2 linked regions of the Drosophila melanogaster genome follow. The gene in region 1 interacts genetically with each later gene. Each region holds a gene or a part of one and is shown on either strand. Other genes may lie near its edges.

Region 1 (8,591 bases):
ACCTCACTTATTTCTGGTCGTACATATTCTTATTTTGTCTATTGAACTCATCTTTTTAGAAATTATACCGCTTATCGAAGTCAATGGAAATTTGGCCCCTGATGTTGGGCATCGCAACAAACTCTCGATAAACGACACCGACATCAGCGGAATGCAGCACGCAAGTGGAAAACAAAAACGAAAAGGGAAGACAGCAGGAGGACAGCAGCGACAAGGACAGAATGTAAGAGGAGAAAAGGGGGTTCGCATATATATGTACAAACAAGCAGAAGACCGGGAATCCCGCCAGAGAACCAACACGCGAAAGACTGCAGCAGTCGTATACAAAATCTGCCAAGAAAACACTAAAGCATCAAAACACAGTGTACACTTATAAAAAAAACACGCGATTTCTAAAGACGATTGCCTCGAATAACATATACCTGTGGGTATATGTTACATGCAAATAGCAGAGCGACCAAAACGTATTTTGATTTATGTTCAAAAGGTTTTTCATTCAACCAACACTACATGTTTACGGTACTTCATTTTCTTCCACTTACTCATCGAGTCTTTTTCGGCTTTTCAGTTGCAAGACAACGAACTTTATCTTCAGCCTAATCTCCTAGCGTCAATACAGTGGATATGGCCGACATTTAAAGAACGAATTGGTACACGAACTTTATATTTGCAACTGGCACTGAACATAAATTTCAATTTAAAAATTTCAAACAGACATGGACTATATGTTTATTTCCTTACCGATGCGAAAGTAAGGAACAGATGTTATTTTAATATTTATGAAATCTGCTAAAGGTATCTATACATATGTCAACCTCCTGGAAAGAACATTTCTTTGTCAGTCTATGAAAGAGTCAGTATTACGATGAATCAAGATTGCTTTCCCGATTACCGCCCACTAAGCGGTAGTTTCAAGCGACTTATATTTTTATAAGTTTATATTTCGGAAATCGAGCGCGTTTACCATCATCAAAACAACAACCCTCACAACTTGCCAGGCTCAAATTGATAAAAGGCCAAAAAGGAGCTTGCAAGTGGTTATGCCAAGACATGGCAAATAGCATCGGAAGCACGACCTCTCTGAGTGCACGACCCGCGGCAACAAACGGAGATACACACACTGGCAATTGCAACTTATTATATTACACTTTCGATGTCATCGCGCGATGTTGCCGCTGTCATTGCAACTGCAATTGCTGATGCTGTTGCTGTTGCAGTGCTGCCGTTTCGGAGTCACTTAAACGAGATAAATCAACGTGGGCGATTACACAATATCTCAGGGTGATTGTCGTCCCCTGCCACCCGCTGACCGCCTTGCATGACTTGGCGAAAAGTGCAACAGCAACAGCAACAGCAAGAGCACCAGCAACAGCCCACAATCAGCAAAGCAAAGCAAAAGCAAAGGCATGGGCAAAGACTCGCGCCATTGGAGCAGTGGGTCGCTCTCGGGGTCTCGTGGAAATATGTGGAAAAACGTGGAAAACCTGTAAGACCAAAGTCGACAAAATCAATAGCACACACACACACTCGCTCAGTCCGGCGACACTGCAAAAAGCAAAGACGACGCCAGCAGTTGCAGCAGCCAACAATTGCGTTGCTGAAGTAGGCAGTTACTCTTGCAGTTGTGTTTCAGCTTTATGAGCGACAATTAAAGTTAAATGCCTCCGCTTCGAAGCTGCGGATGTTACTCGCTGGTTATACTCAAATGCATACGTGCACATGTTTTGGTTTTTGTTTTGCTTTTCGAAAATAAATACATTTTAATGACTACGCTCAGTGGAAGTGGGATTGTTTTTTGTGGTTTAGGAACACGTTAAAATGAGCCAGCCAACGAGAGAGTTTAGTTTAAAAAATCAGCATTTTGACAAGATTCAAATTTTAGGCGCACAGCTCTGGAAAGATTCAGTGCAAAGATTCGGACAAAACGTAACGAAATCGAAATAAAAACCGAGCCAAACACAAAGCTACAACAAAATGCAGTGCTTTTTGGCGGCGACAAAAAAGTACACACACACAAAAACCAAAAAGGGAAGAAAAACAGAAACAGAAACAAACAAAATAAATAAATCAAAAGGAGTTCAACGACCAAAAGTTTAAATGATTTCCGACTGCCAACGAAGAGAAAGAAGCAACGCCGAAATCGCTCACCAGTCAACGAGGGAACGCGATCTTGGGGAGGTGATACGAGGACGGTGATAAGGCCAAGCCAATTGACAAAACGCTCCCCACAAAACATTTGAAACATGCTGCTGCGAAACCAGACACAAATGCCACATTGGCGTTTAGAAGATATGTATGGAATCAGAACCATTTCTGAAAACCGAAACATAACTTAAACATAATCGACAATTGTGCAGCAGATCGGCAGAGAGCACCGTCCATATTCAAGATTAATTTCCCCGAGGGGGTGGTTTCGGTTTCGGACTCGTATCTGCATCTATATCTACATCGATGCAGCCAGGAAGCTGTTTTCGTTTGCTCAACCGCCCACGCGCCGCATGGAAAATCAGCAGCTCTGCTACTGCGGCGCATCAGCCGCCATTTGCGGCTGATAAATGAACGCATGTTGTGCGTATCTGCCAGATACAAATGCCTGCAGTTCGTTGCGGCCTTTGCTCTTCCTTTGTTTCCATTCCACTGCTGCCTCTACTGTGCTGCGCATTTTTAATGAGCGGAAATTAGTTGGCATTGCGGCAAGAGGTTTTGTGGCTGCCCATTTGAGTAGATACAAATGTATCTGTAAGCCATAAATTTGCAATCTATGAGGCACGTGCCTCGTAGGCCCCTTACAAGACTGGCACTTTGCTGTTCTGTACAATTATCGGAACGATTACCTGTCAGATAAATTCAGCTCAATCGGCTATTAGCTTTTTCCAGATCTCGCTGAGCATTGCAGATTTGGTTCATACGTTTATCATGATTGGGATGGGCTGCATTCTATTTGTGTCTTACGGATCACACTTTTGGATCACTTTTTGGCAGTACAGCGCGCGTGTATATTTAGAGAATTTTCTTTGGCTCAGACTTGGCACAGCCAGCCGGTTCGCAGATACACTTTTGCATTTCCCTTTATAGTTAGGCAGTGCATCTAAGAAATACATTTGGCAGCTTGCATTGTTAAGACGCTTAATGATGCCATTAAATACGTCGATGAAAAGGGGACGGGGTAAGCTGCTATTGAATGTCTTTATGGCGTATACTAAAGGTGTTTATGCAAAAAGTTTATTTTTTATTATTGTTAAATAAGTCTTATTGTGTTCCTTAAAAATTTTAAGTTTTCAATATATTTCATAAATTAGATACGACCATCGTGCCTGCCTTTGCATTTAAATAAACCTCAAAAAATCTCAAATTACGACTAGAATTTAGAACTGTCGAAGAGCAACGTACTTCCCTATCGCTGCAAAATGCCAAACTTCAGTAGTGTGCCCACGACATGCACTCACCTGTCTGATGACTCCGACGAGTCGTACCGATCTAGACATCTCTTCTTGGACCCCTTTGTGCCACGTTCTCCTCCAGTTGTTCTTGGGGCTGTTGCCACCGTTGTTGTTTTGCCGACTCCCACTCGAGATGTTGTTGCAGTCTTCCTGGCGCCCTGGTAGAGCTGAGATCGCAATGCGTTTATATCCAATTTGGCGGCTTGGGCTCCAAACCCGCCAAAAACTCCGCCCACCCCCCGTTTGGTACCCTGCACGATTCCAATAGTGCTGGGCGAGGTAAAGGGCCGAGCGGGTTTGGCCGGGGGCTTCAGTTCAATATTGGAGGACAGAGACGGGCTTTTGTTGATGGGTGGTGTGGGTGGTGGGCTTTTGGGAGTAAGTATCGGGGAGGCGGTGGTTGTACTGGCTGGTGCTGTTATAGGTGGTGTGGCTTCTGGGCTACTGTTGTTGCCGACGCCGGCGCCAATTGTCAAACTGTTTGTATTGACGCTATTTTTCAGCTGATCAAACAGTGACAAAGCCGCGCTGGAGGTTAAAGTTTTCCGTCCCGTTGCTCCTGCTGTTTTGACAGAGAGTGGGGCCAGAGGGGCTGCTACTTCAGCTGCCGACTCCTTGGTCTTTAATGCCGTATCCTTTGGCTGAGTGACTGACATTTTCCCTCTATGTTTGCTGCACTATTGCTATAACGACGCTTTTAATTGGTGTTAACTGCTGCCAGAACTCTGGATCTGCTTTAGCACACATCTGCTATTCCCAACGGCTTATTGTTAGTCGACGGAAAGCCAATTTGAATTGCATTAATCTGAAAGTTGCTCGTCAGCAATTTTTAGCCGCACTGCCCTTAAATGGTGTTACCATTCCGATTTTCCCCATCAGTTTGCACAAATTGGTATATATATATCGCCATGAACTTGCATTTTACGACTTTCGTGGGTCGGACTATCGAGTTACGAGAAGTAAAAATATTTATACAAATTAAACAAAAATTCATTTAAATCAATTGCACTTGTATGACTTTTGGCATTAAGCTGCACTTCACTTCTGCACTTATGACACACATTTTTCAATTCGATTGATATTTCAACGAGAAACTACTTGATCATCATAAAATTAATCGACGTCGCGGGTTCGGTTTTGATTTGCGTGGGGTGGTTGGATTTGCGATCCGTTACAAAGTGTTACACTGTGCTTTATGGATTTGTGAATGGCCAGTAGTTATTTCACTGTCGGTTGTTTCCGGTGCACACCCGAAATTCATTCTGCAAGATTGGCCACGCGGTGCTCGCAAGTTCAAGAAAGCGACAATGAAACCGAATTCAAAACCGAAACGGGTAAGTCAGGTTAACCTCCTAGTCGCTGTGACTGCGAGCCAGCTTTTGTTTATTGACAACAATGACGGGCGAACAAACACATCGCAATCTAATCAAATGCATTCCAATGTGCCTCAGCAAACTAGCGATTTACTTATCGCGGGGCCAACTTGTCTGCCGCGCGTACCATTCATAATTAATGTAGTGGTCACTGCTCTTAATAGCCGCCAATTGCAGTATAACCAAATTAAACAAAGTCTAAGAAGCGCTGCACTGCAAGCTAAGAATTCCGAAACGCCATCGATTGGCAAGCGAAAAACTGCGATCTCCCCACGAAAAAGCTGCGGGCTGCTCTTGCTCTGCCTGCCGACTGACTGACGAGTGGGGCCAAGTGGAGTGGGAGTGGACCGAGCGCTGCGGCCCCACCCGAAGAGGTAGCCGACGAGAAGCGAGGCGGCGGACCGAGTGCCAGCCGAATGGCTTAGCCAACTAGAACCGGGCACAAATCAAGATACGAAGCACGCGAAGCAAGAACGAAGGCAACGAACTGCCGTTCGTTTTAATAGGGGCTCTCCGACGAGCTGAGGGTGAAGAGGAGAAGAAAGGGCCGCGTGCAGTGTGTTCACTTTTGATTTCTGTGCAGCGGCAGCAGGTTTTCGAGAGCGGGACCAAGAGAGAGGGTCGCGTGGGGAGCTTGTTGCGCTACAATGTGAGTTCTTTCTGTGTGTGTGAGTGTGTGCATTTGAACTTCTGGGGAAGTTCAGAGATTCCGTATTTGAATTTCAGCATTTGGCGGCTGGCTAGATGGGCAGCAACTTCCGATGTGTCCGCGGTGGCAAGTTCGCTCACACACAAGCGACCCAAGCTGCAGCTACCTGTTGATATGTGTGGGAACTAATCAGAATACAAGAGGTTCCTGCGGTTCGATAAAACTCAAAACCGGTTCATCCAAGCGAGCATGGTTATATGGGAACTTGAGCTCGAATTTGAAGCTAAATACAGATGTGTGGAGAATATGCACCCATAACCAATACCTTGGCTATATGTATCTGTTTTGGCCCACACTTAATAAGGCCAAAAAAGTCAAGAACAAAAACAAAAAAAACACGAGTCTTGTATAAAAAAAGATAAAAGTAAACAAAGTTATGGCAAAAACCAAACAATAACAAAACAGCAAGGCAGCCAGACCAGCTCTCTCACAAACACAATCTAAAGTCGCAACTGTTTTTAAAGACCAAAGAAAGGGAGGGAGCGAGGAATCAAACACAACACGTGCTTTTATTACGCTACAAGCAATGGTACGTACGTCTGTGCGATGCAACTGAGGGAGACTGCAAAAACAGGAGGGACAAAGAAGACATGTTTACGCGAGAATTTTGCGGGTGTGTGCGAGTGCGACAAAACTCGTTTGGTGTCCAGTTTTACTCTACCAATAAAATGTTTGTTCCTATTGAACGTTTTACACTGCACATACTTGGGATCACTTTAATTAAGTGAATGAATTCATTTCCGAGGAATGCATCTAATACAATCAAAATGTTTTAGCTCACAAAAGCTCTGCAAAAAATAGCTCACTCAACCATTGTAAATGCAAAAATACACTGCGTAAGAGTGACAAGTTAAATAAGTTTATAAGCTTGCGTTCGCATTTTGCGCTGCATTTTCCGGAAAGCTATTAAACTGCAGCAAACGGAGAGAGAGAGTGAAAATAGGATTGAGACAATTGAGAGAAAAACAACCATAATGCTGCATTCATACTTCGCTGAATATTTTTGTAGATGCATATACATATGTGTAGATAATATTAAATTAAATTATTAAATATAAAAATAAAATATAATCAAACATTTCCTCAATAAAATATCTAAGCTGGCAATTATACTGGAGCCCATCACAATTAAAAAAAAATTATGGGTCTTTTAAATGCTCTCAGTGTAAAGCTCAGATTGCCACAGCATACAGCTTTTGTCAGCGATTACGTCCAAATAAACAGTTATGCCTTTTCAGTATTTTTATAGATAATTCCAAAATTACATAAGTGGGCATGTAAACTAAGTAAGGAATCAAACCAGTTTAAAATTGATAGCGAACTGCATGATGTTCCTTGACCATCAACGGGAAAATTGGTTAACCAACGCAAAGTCAGTTTAATTACGATAAAAAAATAGACTCATAAATAATCACATATCTAAAACTTCCGAACGCATAAACGAAGACAGAAACCTTTATGTTAAATAAATTTTTCACATCAACTCCATGCTAAATATTTTCCGTTCGACTCCAATTTAATGTGTATTAATACGACTTTAAAAAAGGTTTTCCGCACGTTTGAAAAGGCATTTAAAAAGCTTATTTATTTAAAATGTTTAGCTGCATGGATTGATCAAACAAGAAAAAGAAAAATTTGATTACATATTTTTCATTTTTAATTTATTGATCTTAATTTATTTTTCCATATCGTTTAACACTATGTGCTCACCATAAAATGTGGAGAAACTTTTTAAAGCATAACAACATATTTCTTTATATACTTTTTATGTCTCAGGGTGTATTTTTTACCTTTTTATTTTAAATCAAAGACTTTCAAGAAATGTTTCATTTTTTTTAAAGGTTATTGTTAAAAAAGCCAATTTAGATTCTTCTCGGAAATGCGTGGGCAAGGATGTAAAAATCTGTGAATAGTGAAGGGGAAATTGTACTTATGGATTCCTTTACATTATTATTTAATAAAAAAAAAGAAAATTGATATTGGGATCAATTTTTATTAGCGGTAACAGTGACCGAATAATATTTATGATTAATATTATTAAGAATAAGAATATATATTAATATATATTAAGAATAAGAATATATGTTAATATATATTAAGAATAAGAATATATATTAATATATATTAGAAATATGAGGAAGGAAAAATATAATTAACGTATACTAAAGTAAATATGAATATAAATAAGAAATATGAAATATAAGAAATATATAATTAACGTATACTAAATTAAATATAAATATAAATAAGAAATATGAAATAAGTATAGAACTAAGCGAAGAATATGAAGGAGGAAAAGTAACGATGAAATAATAAAAAGGAATCAAAATACAATTCGATCGCCGACGTGTGAAGACGTTTTTATCGTGCTCCGCACAAAATCGGTTGTTTTGAGTGAAGTGAACGCCAAATAAAATAAACTAAATAAAAAATCTGAAAGCGAAAGAGACGCTCTATGCGATGCAAGATCGCTTAAATACATAGTGAATTGTTATCTTAAATAATAAAACTATGAGTCAGAATGACACTCGCGCCCAGCGTCAGCGCGAGCATGACGAACGCCGACTCTCAATTCAGCGCAACAACGCGTACTTCTCCTACGTCTCACCGACAATCCCAAACGCAGACATCGAGCGGTCAATAACCCATAGCCCAGGAAACCTTCTTCTACCAACAAATCAAGAAAGAGCCCGCTCCTGCTCTCCCGCTCTATTGGCTCCGACAGAAGCCCCGCTACCTCCAACAACAACAGCTGGAGAGGGACCGGCAGCCCGCTCTGCCTCGTCATCGGCTGCACCCGCTCACGGTCTGACTAAGTCAGCGAAAGCAAAACCGCTAGCAATAAACGGTACTGCTGCACTGCCAGCAAAACAAAACGAAAACGTAAACAAAAAAGCTGGGTCGACCTGGCAGACTGGAATGGACCGCTACATTACAATAAAGCGAAAGCTCAGCCCGGAAAATTCAGATTTGGGAAACAAGCCGAAAAATACACGCGACAACTCTACCTTGATCAAAAATGTAGCCCCTGCAAATACCAACAGATTTGCCTTGCTGGTAGATACCGCT
Region 2 (6,616 bases), on another chromosome or scaffold:
CCCTTTGCCGCCCGTGAAGGCGCTGGAAATTCCCCCTGGAAATTCCCCTTCCAATATACAAAGCAACAAAGTTGTCGGCTGTAATGAAAAACAAACGTCCCAGCAATTTTCCAGTTAGGTCAAAACTCTTTTTGTCTCACTCGTTTTTAGTTATCGTGGCCCCTCCCCCGTGGCCATCCATTTTTCCCAGTGTAATGTAACTTTAACGAATTGAGGCATAAGCAAAAATAAAAAAGTGAAAAATAAAATGAAAATAATGGGAAAAAGACCAAAATGAAATTGAGGCAGAGTCATCAGAGGCAGCCCATCGCAGGTTGGCGAGGGGAAACAATCACAGTTTAGATTTCAGCAGGGAACCCTTTTCCCGCCGCGCTGGTTGTGCTTTTAATATTACTTCGCGGCCCTCTCTTCGCGTCTTCGTCAATATTCGCCAAGGTAATAACTCAGGTGATTATAGTAATTATGCGTTCTGACGCGATCCAGCCACGGATAACGCTATTCCGATATAATTGAAAAATGCTGATAGACGCTGATTGTGTGAGCCGAGAAGTTGGAGTGGCGGAGTCGGGAGTTCAGAGTCGGAGTTAAAGTTGCAGTCCCAGTTGAAGCTTAAGTTCGGAACATGAAGGCCTATGTGTGCCTTAGAGATGTGCGTGAGCAGCTTACCGATAGGCAAGAAAGTGAGTCACGAGACTCACGACCCTTGGCACAGCTATACAATACTATACTACAATACTTTTAATATTTAAGCTATTCTGGTTTTCTCGAATGTCTCCATATCCTTCTAACGTAGCATATTTATTAAATCTTTCGCTCCGGACTATCAATTCAAAAGGCCCTGTGGCCCATCTCTAGCCATCCCAAGTCCCAAAACCCCAGACACTGGTAGTCAAAGCTGCTGTGCCCGCATCTGGAACTCCTCGAGCCTCAATCCTCAATCTTAACTACAAACTCGACTCTTTCGGCGGGGCCACCAATCAGAGTTCATGAATTACATCGCCATTGCAATATTGTTGTGGGAATGTCTAAAAGAGGTCTCGGCTTAAGACAGAGCCCGGATTGCCACTTCTGCTTCATGGCTATTGCGGCGAAATGTTCTTTGATGCCGATTTCATTTTTCGATATTGAAAATAACCATGCATTACGGAGGAGGCTTATGTACTGGGAGTGGGAAAAGTGAAAGATGGAGGGAGCTGCCCAACTTATCTCGTGACAATCGCCCGACTTCGTGAGGCGTTCATCGCTCGCTTTTCGGTGGCCTGGCGAGTGAGTGTCGAAAGTGTTATTGTCACGTAAATTCAATTAGTTTAATTATGAGTTTCATCGATGTTGGCACCTCTGTAGTGCTCTGCCTGCACTTCATAACTGAAAAATTTTAATTTTCGGACATTTAATTTTTTTTTTTGGCGAAAGCTACTTTTGGGGGGGGGGCACACTTCGTGGTGGGTATGAGGTGACAAGGTGTCAGACATGCTGGGGTCAAAAATGGATATTTCAGGATTGTGAGACATATTTTCACATACGAATAAAAACTGATTAAGGAGGTGTACCTTGTCAGTTCCTTTAAGTCACAATTTTTTTTTACCTAGAACCTCAGTTATGAGCGAGCAATCGCCTAACTTCCACCCCAAAAAGGAAGTGGAATAATTTCTCCCTGTTAGTGGGCAGTTCCATCAATTGTCTCAGCATCTCCGCATCTCAGCCCATTGGATATCAGGTGGACACTTTTCCGCCATTGGCAACGCCCCCAAAATTTGCATGCAAACTCCAGCGAAAGAGAAACCAATAGAGTGTGCGAATGGAAGGGAAATATTGGTGCAGTGTGAAGTGGTTCTGGTTTCGTTTAATTTACCTGTAGTAGGGGAATCCCTGCGGCACATGCAGATCCATCGGCATCCCTCCGGCGGTTCCCAGGTGCGGATGGTGGTGCGGATGCGAGTGCGGATGTGGGTGTGGATGCGAGTGCGAGTGGTGGTGGTGATGCGAGTGTATAGGATGGTGCATCGAGTGGTTCTGGACATGCGCCGCAGCAGCCGCAGCGGCGAACCCGGCATCGGAGGCCATCGAGTGGTGTCCCAGAACGGCGGCCCATGGCGAAGCCACGAACCCACTGCCGTGATGCTCCATTTCTAGGAGTTCCTCTCTATCTATATATTATGACTACACGCAGGTTTATTAGGGTGAGTCCGGTTTTCATAGACACGGAATCGTAGGTGTGGAAAGAAAGCTTTGCATTAATATATCTATATGATGGCAGTATGGTCTGGCCAATAAAGTATCGTTCTAAAAATGTAATAAGATAATTGGAACAAAATTCTGTTCTGTTAATTCTTGTGACTTTTAATAGTTTTTTTTTTTTTTTTTTTTTTTTTAATTAAATTTTAAACAAATCAATTGGATTAAAGTTATGCCGATAGAATTCTTTCCGCCCCTGCGATTGATCTCTCATTCGTCCTACTATGGAACTTGACCCACCCTGATGCGAGACTATTTATTTTCGGCGATAGCTTTTCAGCTATTTATCTTTGATTTGATGTGGTCACACGCACTCTCACAGAGACACAAACACTTGCGGATTATATAGACATATTTGCACATTCCGTTTGGGCCAAGATGGCGGCCATTATTTACCGTTAACGCGCATGGCCGTTTTAGGGGGGAGTTTTCGGGAGGTGGCTCGGCTCAGCTTAGCTCAGCCCCTCAAAATCATCCTTGTCCCTACCAAAAAGAACCGACGGCAGCCAAAAAAGAGCTGATGCAAACAAAAAACAAGTGAACGGTGGCTGAACGTCGAGGAAGGACGACCAAGTCACAACGTCAACCTTGAATTAGGGGTGTCGCTAGCCGTTGGGTGTACGGATTCGGGTTACACGGAGGCGAGATACTACGGGTACGATAGGGAGCCGGAGCTGGGCTCTCTCGCATCTGGGCAGTGCTTTTCCTTTCGCACGTTTTTGGTCCGCGTTCACCTCTGCACGGCACGAAAATTGGCGATAAACTATCGCCTCGCCTCGCATCAGGAAACATGGTCGGTCGCCTCGGTCGTTTGGTCGGTTGGTCGGTTGGCTGGCTGGTTGGAGGTGGTTGGATGGTTGGATGGCTGGATGTTGTTGGTCCGAACTCAAGAGCATCGTCATCATCGTCATCTCATCTGCGCTGCATCTGCGAAACTTGGAGCGGCGCATTGCAAGCTGCAAATGGTGGTGGAGCAGGTTTTCGTATGGGAGAGTCGCCGCCACACAGATACAGACCCACTCACTAATGTGGTGTGGTCCTCTCCAGCATACAGCATCCACACATCATATTGTTGTATATATCATGTTCTTGTTTTGCCTCCGCCTCGGTCTCGGGGTCTCTCCCTCTCTCTAGAGAGTCGTGAACACCTGAGTTCTCTTCCTCGCTCGGGGCATTCTCTGGAGAATTCGGTGGAGCAACTCTCAACACGCCAGCGGTGATATTGTGTTCTGTGTTGTGGATGGTGTGTGATGTTGTTGAGGGCGAGATAAGACGGTCTACTGGGGGAGTCATTTGCTCCCATTATGGGGAGGCCCATTTCTGAATCGACTGAAGCACATAAAGGAAAATTTAGGATTTGAAATGGGAATTTGAAGGATAGGTCAGGAATATTGAGAAAGTATATTGAATAATGGCTTGCGCCAAATAAAATACTTTATAATTCAGACATATCTAAGTCATCAATTTTAGTAAAGACGTTCATAAGTTCGTTCTATCTAGTTCTTCGTTCAGCAATTGCATTACAATTGATGTCCACTATAAATTGTAACCATAAAACTTCGTTGTATAAGGAACAATGAACATGTCTGCCATATCTGCCCATTCCACCAACCTGACCTGTTCCCACAAAACATTTATGATTATTTCCATTGCATTATTTCCATTCTCATTCTCATAGTCATTTCCCCAGATGGCGGAAACGGAGGACTTAGAAGAGGAAGGGCTGACAACTTAGTTAAATAAGGCGCCACCTGTCAAGTGATTTTCAATAAAATAAATTCGTGATTACACGACAATATCGAAACGAAAAATCCAAGAGATCAGCACAACAATAACAAAAGACTCCCACGGGGAATGCTGCTGCCCGTTTGGCCTCCAGTCCTCCCCCACTCCCAACTCCCCAGTTCTACCTTCCTGGCCCATCACACACGACTTGGACTTCAGGTTGCGAATCCTTGGCACACACTCACATCCCCAAGCAAACGGAGCCTCCACTTCTGAATCGCAGTCGTGCAGGGTCAACGTCAATACTGAATGTTGTCGCCGTTCCAACTGTCCGTCCAACGGAGCGTCCGTCTGTCGTTGAGTCCGTCCGTCTGTCTGTCTCGGTGTCTTGGCTTGTTTACAGTGTGCAAAAATCATTTAGACAAGTTGACAAAAGCTCGTTTGGAACGTGAGTAACATGAGTTGGACCCGAGACTGGAGATTCGAACTGGGGACTCGAGACCTGAGACTGCTGCCTTGGCTGCCTTCGGAATTGGTTCTGCCCGTCCGCCGGTTGCCGTTTTCTGCGGTTATTTGGGCTTTTGGAGCTTCTCAAGTATCTGAGGTCTTAATTCTAAACATGGCAAATGTGCCTAGAGCGTGCTGCTCAGCTGCTGCTTTGTTTCTTTGCTTCTATAATACTTTGGCCTGCGGCGGCGAATAAAATAAAATGAGGCCTTGCCCCAGCCGACTGACCTTTGGCTGTAATGAAAATGCTATCCCAGTTAAGAATGTTGTGAATGTGCCAGCCTATACTGGGCTTAATGGTGGGTGTGATAACAATGATTGCAGAAGAGTCTTGAGTTGGGGAACTGAAATGAGATGAAAATATTGTATATGGTCAAAAAATCACGTAACCTGCAAAAAAGAACACGAAACATTTGATCCATCTACCATGGATAGCAATCAGACAAATATAACTATAATAAATATATATAAACATATTTTGCTTCGTACTTGTTTGTTTCACTTGAACCCAACACGAAGTAAGATTTAATGACCCGACCGCGAAGAAAGTGCAAAACTCATAAAAAAAAAGTGCGAGTCACGAATTTGCCATGTAATTGCCTTATATAAGACCTCGTACATATATGACCATGTACCTGTCAGGATATCGACAGAGGCTTCAAGTCGGGAATATGTGCTAAAAAGTACACAAAACTTGAGCCGGAGATGGAGGTGGAGCACACTTGCCGTCGTCCTGCGGCACGTGATGTGCATAAGAGAATGAGCCAGGATGCCAGGATACGCCGAGCATTTTCGTCAGGATTACAATTCTCACTCTTGGTAGAAATCCCCTGGAATGAGTATTGATTTTTTCGGGCGAAAGTTTAATGAAACTTCTAGTGATTCTAACTTGTAAAGTTTAAAGTAGAAACTATGCATCGATTGATTTATACCCTTGGCTTGACAGGTTTATCAGCCGATCGGGGAATGTGGCAAAGACCTTCTGGGTCTGGGGCGGATCGTATCGGATCCGTTTGATTGATTCGCTGAAAGTGCGACGAATGGAAATTACGAAAATCCAAGCAAAACAAACAAATAAATCGAGGCGAGCGATCCACACTGATCCACCGATCCACCGATCCAAACGGTTTTGAGGGGTACGTGTTCGTCATATTAAAGGCCAGCTTTAACTGAGGGTTGGGCTTGGGATTACACTCGGAAAAACGTTAGAAATATATAGAAAATAGAAATAGAAATATATCAATACCAATTGAGATTTTGGATTCCTTAATTGAATAATATTAGCAAGTGAAAAAGAGAAGGGATTTGGGAACATTGAGAAGTACCTCAAAGTCTATAAATATTGAAGCATGCTTGAATTAAAGATAGTTTTTAAAAGTGCATGTATGACTATAGCTTAAACCTACAAATTGTTGTGAACGCAGGTTTGTTTTTCGATGCCTCTCTTATTTTGGCAGTTGCTGCCGTGCATTTAAATAGCACACCTGCTGAAGACCCTGGGACTCCACCAATTTCGTAGAATTTGTCGATATTTATGAGCCTCTGTTGCCGACCTGTGATTTCTTGGATTTGCATAACTGGGTCTCGGTACATCCCGTACATGCTTAATTTCTCCAAAATGAAAAAAAAAAAAAAATGGCCACAAATGAAACAACTTTCGACGCCCCCGATTTTGGAGAAAGAGCAGAGGGGCCAAATCCATCTTGGTCACTTTTAGGGGATGATATCCGCCGGCGGAAGTGGCAAAGTCGAAAGGGAAGCCGACTTGGAGATGGAGTTTCTTTGATATTGATTTTTCCGGGACGCACTCTCATCTGGAAGACGTGACTGGAATGGTCAGTTCCCCTTCGCTTTTCCTACCCAACTGGGACTTCATCTTGAGTCTGCACTGTATGCAAAAGTCGCACCTGGAACGTGTGAACAGTTTTTAGCAATTAACTGACAACTGATGATGGCAAGCCCAGGAAGAGGAGGCTGTCCCCCACCCCTTCCTCCCGTTTCCAGTAGCATGCGGCAAGCGGCATGCGGCACGCGGCGTCATGCAGTCTGGCCTGGCTGAAAAGGATGGAAGGGGACTGGAGCGGCGTGCCCCAAACATTCATCCTAATTGGCGTTCAATCTCCGGCTGCCTTCGATTTGCATGCACACG

The links. A genetic interaction does not mean that the proteins touch.
Region 2: of jing (region 1) and trh, changing one enhances a phenotype caused by changing the other (phenotypic enhancement), as found in Drosophila melanogaster (one study listed by BioGRID).

Annotation. Positions count from the first base shown.
Region 1 is NT_033778.4:6,498,544-6,507,134, reverse strand, and holds the start of jing (jing), read right to left. Parts: upstream 5,130-8,591; 5' UTR 4,097-5,129; coding exon 3,447-4,096; intron 1-3,446.
Region 2 is NT_037436.4:389,634-396,249, forward strand, and holds the start of trh (trachealess), read right to left. Parts: upstream 3,001-6,616; 5' UTR 2,476-3,000; exon of another isoform or gene 2,373-2,475; intron 2,161-2,372; 5' UTR 2,128-2,160; coding exon 1,853-2,127; intron 1-1,852. UniProt on the Drosophila melanogaster protein: Transcription factor, master regulator of tracheal cell fates in the embryo, necessary for the development of the salivary gland duct, Malpighian tubules and the posterior spiracles.